Linked DNA regions of Drosophila melanogaster. Changing the gene in region 2 together with the main gene of any one other region gives a genetic interaction. Each region holds a gene or a part of one and is shown on either strand. Other genes may lie near its edges. The genes, in order: cv-2 and ltl.

Region 1 (5,288 bases), on a different chromosome or scaffold from region 2:
AAGACACCAGTTGCACTGGCTGCTCACCTCTCCAGGTGAGCGTGCGGATTGCAGATCGCTCGCCTCGAGAGTCCCGTGTGTGGAGCAGAACCGAATCCCCCCAAGATTGTGGACCGCAGATCGGGGATCGCAGACCGCCTGGCTCTGCTGTGCTTGGACAGGTGCGTGAACGTGGCCAGCGGGAGCGAGAAAGAGTCGCAACCCGAATCGTACCCTAACGTATCCGAACAGGGAGTACCCTGGAAAGCACGCTCTTCTAAGTCCTTTAGAATCTGAATACATGTATTACTTAAAGGATCTAAGATAACGCAGATCAAATTAAATTGGAAAATAAATCATTTTAAGTTTCGCTTTTCTGTGGGCAAGTTACTAGAGTTAGTAAGTTAGTTATCATGCCTTTCTCAACCCCAAAAGATTCACTCCATCCAAAGGACTTTCTAACTTCAAAACTTGTAAAAACTACTTTCTGCCCATCTTCATTCAAGAGTTCCCCAACTCGTGCTAAGCAAACAACATCATCCACTTCAATTACCCTTGATCCAAGGGTATAAACACATAGTTTTTTTTTTAAACCAAATTCACATGCAGTTCGTAGTTGTAGTTGCAGTTGTTATTGTTGATGTTGATGTTGGTCGGTGGACAGAAGGGGCAAACGAGTTGGCCCCGCCGCCTGTGTATGCCAGTTGTCAGTTGGCAAAACTGGTATGGTTGCATTTTTATTATAAAGCGAACAGAAACAACAACAAAAAGCGACACCTAGGCAGTACGGGAAAGTCCGTCCGTTTGTCTCTGCCACTGCAAGTCAGGGATCGGAGGATAGGGGATTGGTTTGGATAGCTCAAGGATGGGAGGCTTGGGGACGCCGAATGGGAATGGGAATAGGAATGGGGACTGTCATCCATGGGCTGGTGTGTCGCCAGTTTAGCCCAGTACGCGAACTGCTAGTCAGACGTCTGTTCTATGGACGTTTCATGGACATACCGGCGCACATTCGTATTAACCCATGTAGCTTTGGCTTACTACCTGCCCCGCCCCCAAACGTATCCCAATCCCAATTGCAGTCCCCCCTGCAAAGAGCAGTTATTACCAGTGTTATTTACACAGAGATAAATGAAGAATGTGACGAAAGAAAATACGTTAAAACTAGCAAGATATTAGCAATCAAAGATACAGTATGTTGTATTCAAAATACGAAACAATGGTAATACATTTGATAAAACAGATATAAATTTGAACAGAAGTACTTGGATGCATTGAAAATGCTTAAATAATATTTCTTTCCGTGCATACTTTATTGGCTCTTATGTTTGCGTTTCGGTTTGTGTCTCCATTGCCCCAGCAGTCGTAATTTGTTTTGGTGTCCTTCTGCCAGACTGTCCTCCTAATGAGCCAGTTTATTGTATTTCCTATTTGTGGCCCCGTCCACCAAGCGATGACACTTTTTATGGCTCGATGAGGGTAATACAGGAAATGGCCTGCGATTAGCTTAGTGACAATTCTCGCTGCAATTGAAGTTTCAGCTGCAGTTGCAGTTGCAGCAGCAGCTGCTGCAGTGATTTATCATCTTTGCAGCCTGACAGTTGGCCAGCTTATATATCTATATATCACCTGGTGATATTTGACACATCGTTACTAATTGGTTAAACAATATGTATCACCGCTGACTCATGCCCGGCAATAGATAAGGTGTTTTGTGCTCATGCACCCGATCTGCGGCACTTTGTTTAATCGCTCACTTAGTTGGTAGCTGTTAAGCGGCTTAAAGTCGTTCTACACACTCGAAATGCTCACTTAGAACGCCTCAATGGTTTTCGAATTGGATTTATTAAGCCCAAACCAAATGGCTGTCGGGCAATTAAAGCCAACTATGATTTCCGCCTTTACAAAATGCTATGCAAATGTTCTCAATTAAATGCTGGCCCGGACACTCAAACATATGTTTGCTTATTCGCAATTTGATCGGCTTTTGATTTCGAATTTACAACTTTTAATGCTTGGCAGTAATCAATTCGAAGGAAATCAAGAGAGAGAGGCGAGAGCGAGTGCCAAATGTGATAATAGAAACCAAACAATTAAACAATTTTCGCAAAATGTTGAAACAACAAAGGCAGATAGCACACACGTTCGCAGATACACACAGATAAGTGAAATGTTTATATGTTTCGCATTATAATAAAACAAAATCGCACTTGGCATTATAGCAACAAAGAATCGGGGAATCTCCGGATCAGGGAATCGGGGAATCGCGGAATCAGGGAGAGGCAAAGATTAATTACAAAGGAAAAAGTAAAGACGCAAAGTTTACCCGTAATTACACTTCCAGATTTCCAGATGAGGTGCTTCTACTGCTGCTGCTGCTGCTGCTGGTGGCAAGAAATCGGCGGAATCGAAAATTAATTATGCTTGACATGTTGCCAGCGATCATCAGTTCGCCTCTTGTTCTTGCTGTTATTGTTGTCGTCTAGTTGTTGCTGTTGTTGCTGCCACTCGAACCGATATAAATCGCATTTTCAATTGCCTGGGCTTGGGTCTATTTTTTATTTGTATTATTTTTTACGTATGTATGTATTTCTACGCGAAAAAGAGAGGCCACACCGCGTTTGGAAAGAGACGAAGCACTTAGAACTCACTGGCGCATAATTTATTTGAGCCGGCGCGCGCCTTTCATTTCAATTCCCATTTCCATTTCGATTTACATTTGCATTTCAATTTCAATTTGATTGCGAGTACTTCGATTCGCTTGCCACAGATTACGCATACGCCACGTTGTGTGCGCGCTTGTCCGTCGACGCTGTCAAAGGTTCAATTTCGCGCCGTGCCGCAATTGCAATAAGCATTCAATTCAATGCAATTCAATGAAATTGCGCGCCAATTCGCCGGACCCACTGGAAAACGCTGCTAGCCAGTGTTAGTGGAAAACGACGCATTAGCGCACGCAGAAAATCAGAAAAACAGAAAATCGCACAAGTCTGAATATCAGAAATTCAAGCTAAGCCCCGCATTAAGATTCAGTCGCGTTGATAACAAACTTCAAATTCGTTTATGTTGTTTTCTATTTGAATTGCGTTCGGACTACGTATTTTATAGTAATTACGCTCCACCAGCGATCGTTGTCTCGTGTGAATCGGCGAACGTGAAAATCGCGCGCGAGTTTTCCCCTTTTACGGCTGATAGATTTTCCTGGCCAGCAATTTACAATTTCGAGCCACTCTCGAGCGCTTCTGGAAAACCGCACCGCTCGCGTGCGCAGCTAAAGTTGAACTGAGCACTGCAAGCGGAAAAAACGCTGAGAACACTGAGAAAACGCTCGTCTGCGTTCGGGCTGGCCTTCGTGTCGGTGTCGCCGAGCCGAGCCGAGCCGAAGGCGAAGCAGCGCAGCAGCAGAGGATTGGGGCCTCGTTTTTGGGGGCTCGCACTTTGCTGCGATTTTTTAGCGATAAGGGGACTTTTCTGGTGTTGTTGTACAAACGCTAGTTGCCTTCTAAAGTTTTGAACTAATTGTTATGCTTATAGTGATTCCTTAAAAACAAAATACTAGTAAAATATGTTTATAATATTTCATTGTCTACGATAATTTTGAGATAATCTAGATTTTATAGAGATAGTATAGCCCTAAAAAGTTAACAGTCAATGTCTACTAAATTAAACATGTCGTAACATGTTTGAGATGTTAAGATATTCATATCCAACTGTACCCAAATTTCAGGGCTGCCGACTTCAAAGGCGCACTCTTCACGAATTGCAATTGAAATCGAATTTCAATCTACATTCACACATTCCTAAGCGAAATGAACACCTCGACGATGGCAAAGTGTTAACAGGGCGAACATGAGAAGCGACCCCCCCCCCCCCCTGCGCATTGGGTGGGAAATCAACACACCTTAGTAGTCGCATGGTAGGCAAATCAATTCAATGCGATTCGTTTCGATTCAATTCCGGGAACTTTTGCCAATTAGAATTTGTCAACTGGCATTCCGCGCTGTCTGCCTCGACTTCTTTGTTTTGATAGTTCACGGAGGTATTTTCCCGTCTGATAAAGGCATTATTCGGCCGTAGTATCAATTCGATTGCTTTCCACTCGAACCATGAATGAATTGAAGTTCAAAAGCCTGCTGATTAGATCAGTGTGTGTCAGGTGGAATTGAATGACTTTGCAGTCAGGTGAAATTATCACCAGAATGGCATGTACATATGATAGTGTAAACTTGAAAATAAGGTGCTATAAATGACAAGGAATTTCACAATCCATACCAATAGCAATGAATCATTGCAAGTAATAAAAATTTTTTAAGCTAACTAAACTAACCAAAGGCGTGGGCTAAGTTCTAGCTAAGTTACCTGGGAGCTCTTTAGTTTTAGTTGCACTATAAATCGTAAGCAGCAGTTCTTTCCCACAATGAATGAATGAATCCATTCATTATGATCCCCAAAGCCGACGTGACTGCAATCCGAATTGTGTCTTATGGTATTTGTCTCGAATGCGATAATAGCACTTAAAGCTCTTAAATGCATTTGGCAGATGATGAGACAGAGACGGTGGTACAAATGGTGGCGAGTTTTCGAGACCCTGGGATAATTCACACTTAACCCGCAGCCAAATCAAACTGCCAGCCATTTGACATTTATGCGATGGCCTTTTTTTGCATGTTTTTCTTTTTTGTTTTTTTGGAAAAGCTGCCGCGGCACGCTAGGAAAATGCCACGGAGTTGCAGCTGAGCTGGAGATGATTTATGCACTCATTGTATCTGTAGTTGTGGCTGGAAAATTGCAGTTATCACGAACGAAGCTCGGTTTGGATTATGCTTCGGTTTCAGCTTTGCTTATGCTCTTGGTTTCAGCTTTGGATTTGGAGATAGAGATGGAGTTTCCCAGGCCATGGATTTTGTCACTGGAGGTTGCCTAGTCATTATTTATGAGGCGAACGGTGCAATATGCAGCCAGGTGGGAACCGTGACGCAGTCTGTAAAATTAAATAATTGCGTTTCATTAAATGCCGTTTGCTATTTGCATAGGTTCCCCCCGCATTGCAAACAAAGTGCAAAGCAATTTGGCATAAACGTCATCGGGTCGAATTGCTTAGTGTTTGGGTGGATGGGGAGGTAGACGGTGGGCGGTGGGCAGTGGGCGGTGGTTGGAAATCTGAGAATCCCGCCCCACAATTTTCCACGCCACTTGAGCGTAATTAAGCGTTGAGCTTCTAAGCCCTAAGCAAATAGGCAAGCCGTCGAGCGTCTCCAGCCCCAAAACCACCCCCCACATTTGGTGCGATTATCCACAGCCTATATGCT
Region 2 (5,048 bases):
TCACATAAAAATGTTGAGAATATTTATGTGCAAAAAAAATAAAATAAAAACAAAAAGAAATACCAAGAAGCCGTAAAGAAAAGAAAACATATGAATAAATAATAATTATAAATATTTGCCGCTTTTCTTTAAATATTTACTCGAGATGATTGGGCGCCAAAAATAGATTGGCTACGTAATCGAGGTATATTTTCGTACCTACAGTTATTGATTACAGTGCGGTTCAGCACTGTAACACCACAATTGGCATCTGCTAAGCTCGGCAGTTGCTGTGCTAAAGAGTTTAACATTTTAGTTTATTCCAAGCTGCCAGTTTAGATCATAATTTAAATAACTATCTGCAATTCTTAGAAAATTATTCTGCGTGCGTTCTAATAAATTTATGTTAGATATATTCATAAGAATCATGACAATTTGAAAACTATAAACAGTTTATTTAAAAAAACCTTCCAGAGATATGGACATTATTTGATAGGAAAAACTGTGGAATTCGGAAAATATGTTCATAAAAGAAGAGTTTATCCCATTTATTAACAGATCTAAAACAGGAAGTAGTTCAATTACGAGAGGAATATTATTAATTGAAACATTATTGGATTGATCGAATAAAAGCCGGTCATAAGATTTAATTTTTTAAATCCCTCTAAATGAGTGAGCCCGGCTGTATGTAATTAAGTTAATCTCTCCGACGGCCCTAAACATAACATAATCGTGCCAAGGTTCCTCGGGAGCTTGCAGTCTGCATGGAAAATGGAGATGGATGTGTTGGCTGGGCATCAGAAGTCACTCAGCCAGTGGCCGCCCCCCGATGATCCCGATGATTAATTGCAGCCAGAACTGCAGACGACGACCACGACGACGACGAGGAGGAGGAGACATCGTTGGCACGCGCAATCCGTGGAATTTGCGGAATTTGTGGCGAGCGCATTTAAGGCGCCCAGTGTTTAATTATGCATGCGGTCCCAGAACTTGGAGATAAATTAAGGCAGCGGACTTTGATGCATGGCTCCTGCTCCCGGCTCCCTGCTCTCTGTCGCCTGCTGCCTGCTGCCTGATCCCATCCCCGCCAGAGTTTTGGAATCGCTCTGGCGCCAGTGGAAAATTTTCACTTGGCCCAATCTCAATTGGGCTGCGCAGATCCTTAAACAAGCCGGTTCCATTCAAACACTGCCAACGATCCTATCAGATACGATACGTTCCGATATGATACGATCCAAAAAGTCATAATTAAAAACATAGCTTGAGAGCGAGCGAGGCGAGTGCCAGATGTGTGTCTATGTAAAAGGACAATTTGATGGGAGTGCGTAGAGCAAGAGCAGCACATATGTAAGTACCAACATGTGTCCACGATAATATAATGATGCCCCATACATAGAACTGGGTTCCGAAGAAGATCCCAGCGGCAACATGGGCAAGCAAGTAGCATGTAGCAAGTAGCAACAAACATCAGCACTCGATGGGGGCACAAACACATCGCACATCGCGATCGGGATTGAGTTGCAGATATAGATGGAGATTGATGCCTGGCGCCGACAGAACATGTAATTGAGTGTCGTGGACAATTATAGCCGCATCTCAAGTCCCCAATTGGCCAAAAAGCCGCTCGAGCATCTCGCCGGAGCGCCAAGAGATCGGAGAGAGAGTAAAACCAGCAGCAGCAGCAGCAATACATATCGCACCGCAGCAGCAACAGCGCTGCCGGCAGCAGCAACAGCAGTAGGCAGCAGCAGCAGCAGCAGCAGCAGCAGCTAGCAGCAGCACATACGAATCCTCAACGTTAGCATTTCCACTCCCAGTCGCAAAGAGACCGCCCTGCAATCTAGACGTGATCAGCAGCCCATCAATAAAAAAAAATACAATAGAGATATACTCGCGGTGTTCGACAAACAAACAGGCAAATACAAAATTTTTTAGAAGATTAATTCCGAGCATCGGCGATCTATATACAAGCGGGTCAGAAGGTCTAGCAGATAGGAGGAGGCGGAGGAGTAGCAGCTCCAGCTCTAGCTCCAGTTCTCCATATCCCAGCCGTTAAGATTCGATACGATCGATACGATCGATCGATCGACCGAACTTAACCTTAAGTGCGGTGCGCGTGTGTTATTTGAAAGATCTTTCAAAAGTAGTGACAGTGCGGCTTTGAAATCCGATGCCAGCGGTTCAGAGAATCAACGAAATCCTGCTGGAAAACCGAGCTGCCATGGAAACCCCCGCACGCACGCATATGTGCGCCTAGTGGGTAATTTCCCGAGTCTTTCGTGTTTTCCGAGCTGCCTGCTCGAACAGTTGATAATCCGCCGTCCGAGCGAATGCAACGTGTCCTGGTCTCGAGCCGGAAAACCGTGATTTGTGAACTGTGAACCGAACTGTGAACTGAGATATCGTAGATAGCGAAAAAGTGTACATATACAAATATATTATTGCTCTGGCCAAAGAATTGTGAAATCGCATTCACCGAGTGACTGAGATCACTCTACGAAAATGACTTCCCTCGTGTACACCGTCTTTCACCTGGCCTCGCTGCAATGTTCCGTGCGTCCGGAGATCTCGCCCTGCACCTGCGAAACGGGCAAAGCCTGGAATCATGTGGAGCTCTCCTGCGAGAAGTTGGAATCCTTCAACGCCGTCGTGGACAGCCTGGCCAATAAGCTCAATGCCGACACCAATATCGACCTAAAGATCACGCACTCGCAACTCGACGACCTGGAAATGCGCTCGTTTACGGATATGAACTTCAACTTGTACAAGCTACGGATGCAGTGGAACAGTCTAAAGTGAGTTGAGTCATCGATTCGGTTTGCAATTTTGGAGAGCAGGAGCCAAATAGCTCTATAAGGGGTTTCCCAGCTGTGGTGTAGATTCTATACAAATTCCTTTGCTGAATCACTAGATTTTTAGAAACTGACTAAAAAGTCGCTACTTTACATTTGCCAAGTATAGATAGATTCCATATATTGCTCACAAGAGGAACACTCCTTTTCATATAGCATACATTTATGTAAGTACAGTACAGATATATCGTTGGTAGCGTGTGCCAATTTGTGTAGATCGAGGTATAATGATGTATTGGGGAAATTTTCCTGCTATAGATTCAATCAAAATTTCTTTACTGTGGCGGGGAGTTCAAGGCCAACAGCCAAGTTCCGCAGAAAGGCAGAATTTTCCGCTCGGCCGGCTATCAATTTAGGTTCCTTAAACCCAATAAAAACCGAGAGAAAAATAATAATGCAAAATGTACACAAATTTCAATACGCTTATGTAAATGCACGAAAAAATGTGCTCCACAGATCGGTTCGGGTGGCCAGATCTTGTTTACAGCCATATACATACTACATAGATACTAAAACAATAACAATGTCGTTTGTTTACGTCAAAGAGCCCAGTGCCGCCTCATTATCTATGGCTCAATTGGGCAAATTGCGAAGGAGATGGATGGATGTGGTTGGAGATGGTGCAGTCGCATCTTAATTGCCGCCCAGATGATTTAATTTTTCAATTAGGAAGTAGCATTGAATTGCCGCTAATTCCCAACTATGGGATGTGCTGCCGTAGCTTGAGTCTCGTCGTCTTCTTCTTCTACTACATCTTCTTCTTGTTCAATTGATAACTGATAACGCTTATCACCTACGAAGTATTTATATAGGATTCCGCCTATGTACTTAGCCGTATGGCTGACTGGAGGTATACGACGTATACTTAATGCGTACACAAAATTGATAATTGCAGTTTGTTGAAGGCGTCTTTTCAACGGCGCCTGCACGTTTTCCGACTCTGACTCTCAATGAATTTCAATTCACTGTCGCATTGTGTTTTATATGTACACATATTGACAATTATAATTAATGCATATAAATAAATGCTGTCGATCCACTGATCTGCACTTGCGAATATAGAAATAACATTCGAGCCTATTTCATAAGCGCCTGTCGCGGGTTCATTGATATTTGACTCCGTTGTTTTACAGCCACGATTTTACATTCGCGATTCAAAACAAAATATGACTCAGGGGATTCTTTGTGCCCAAAGCCCCAAAAAAAATGTTTTCGAAAACTGAATTCAATCACAAGGACAAGCGTTTGTTTAATTTATCAATAGCTTCATTCAACTGTATCTTTGTGTTAGCCGAATTGAAATATCTCTTTGTTACAATCCATAGTACTAGACTCATTCATGTTTATATTCCAAAAAAAAAAAAAAAAACGCTTATCTTTATTGTTTTTGGGAATCTATTAAAAATTTAATAGCGACTGTGTGGGATGAAACTGGGTTTAGGCGTACATTCGGGAACACGTTTTAGTAATATAGCACAAATCATCGAAAGTATTTGGAGTAACAAAGTGCGAAAGCTCCACCAATCAACCGATGGCGACCTTTTAGTTCTGGGAAAATCCATTCCTTGAATCAGTTTTCTGAAATCATGGCAATTGCCCGGCGACTACCCCCACGATTAAACTATTCGATTTATCATTCTCCGAATGCAATTTGCGTGTTTGCATGGAAGTCGGCATGATTTAATTAGCCGACTTGATCGAATCAGTGTTATGCACCATCTCCCCAATCGGCGATCTCCCCCAGAATCCAGCTACCAAGCATCCAACATCCAGCATCGAGAATCCAGCGGAGAGCGCGTGCCTCTGGTGGCAATGCCTTCGATTCTGGCTGCTCGGGGAACGCTTTTTACATTGATGTCAATTTATAACAATTGACCTATTGCCTTAATATCGTGCTTTGACCAAATCATGCCAGCCAGCCAGGAAAAGTATCGCCAGCACACATGTGTGTATTCGTATGCACTGCGAGAAATTGGGCGGGCTTATCTTTCTGACAAGAAACATTTTTAATATTGGGTATACAAGTTATGCATTTTAAATACTTCAAGGGTAAAAATAATTATTATTATAATTATAAAGCCATTTCTATTAATCAGTTAAAATCATTTATTTCCTGTGTGGCGCCATCATGAAATCTCAATTTTTTTTAAATACTAATATGCATGAAATTCCCAAGAAATTTTAATTTCTGCCACTCAGCTTTTTTGGTGTTTCCAA

What was found.
Region 1: of ltl (region 2) and cv-2, changing one suppresses a phenotype caused by changing the other (phenotypic suppression), as found in Drosophila melanogaster (one study listed by BioGRID).

The regions. Positions count from the first base shown.
Region 1 is NT_033778.4:21,376,200-21,381,487, forward strand, and holds the start of cv-2 (crossveinless 2), read right to left. Parts: upstream 3,266-5,288; 5' UTR 2,306-3,265; intron 1-2,305.
Region 2 is NT_037436.4:7,517,204-7,522,251, forward strand, and holds the start of ltl (larval translucida), read left to right. Parts: upstream 1-1,793; 5' UTR 1,794-2,481; coding exon 2,482-2,774; intron 2,775-5,048.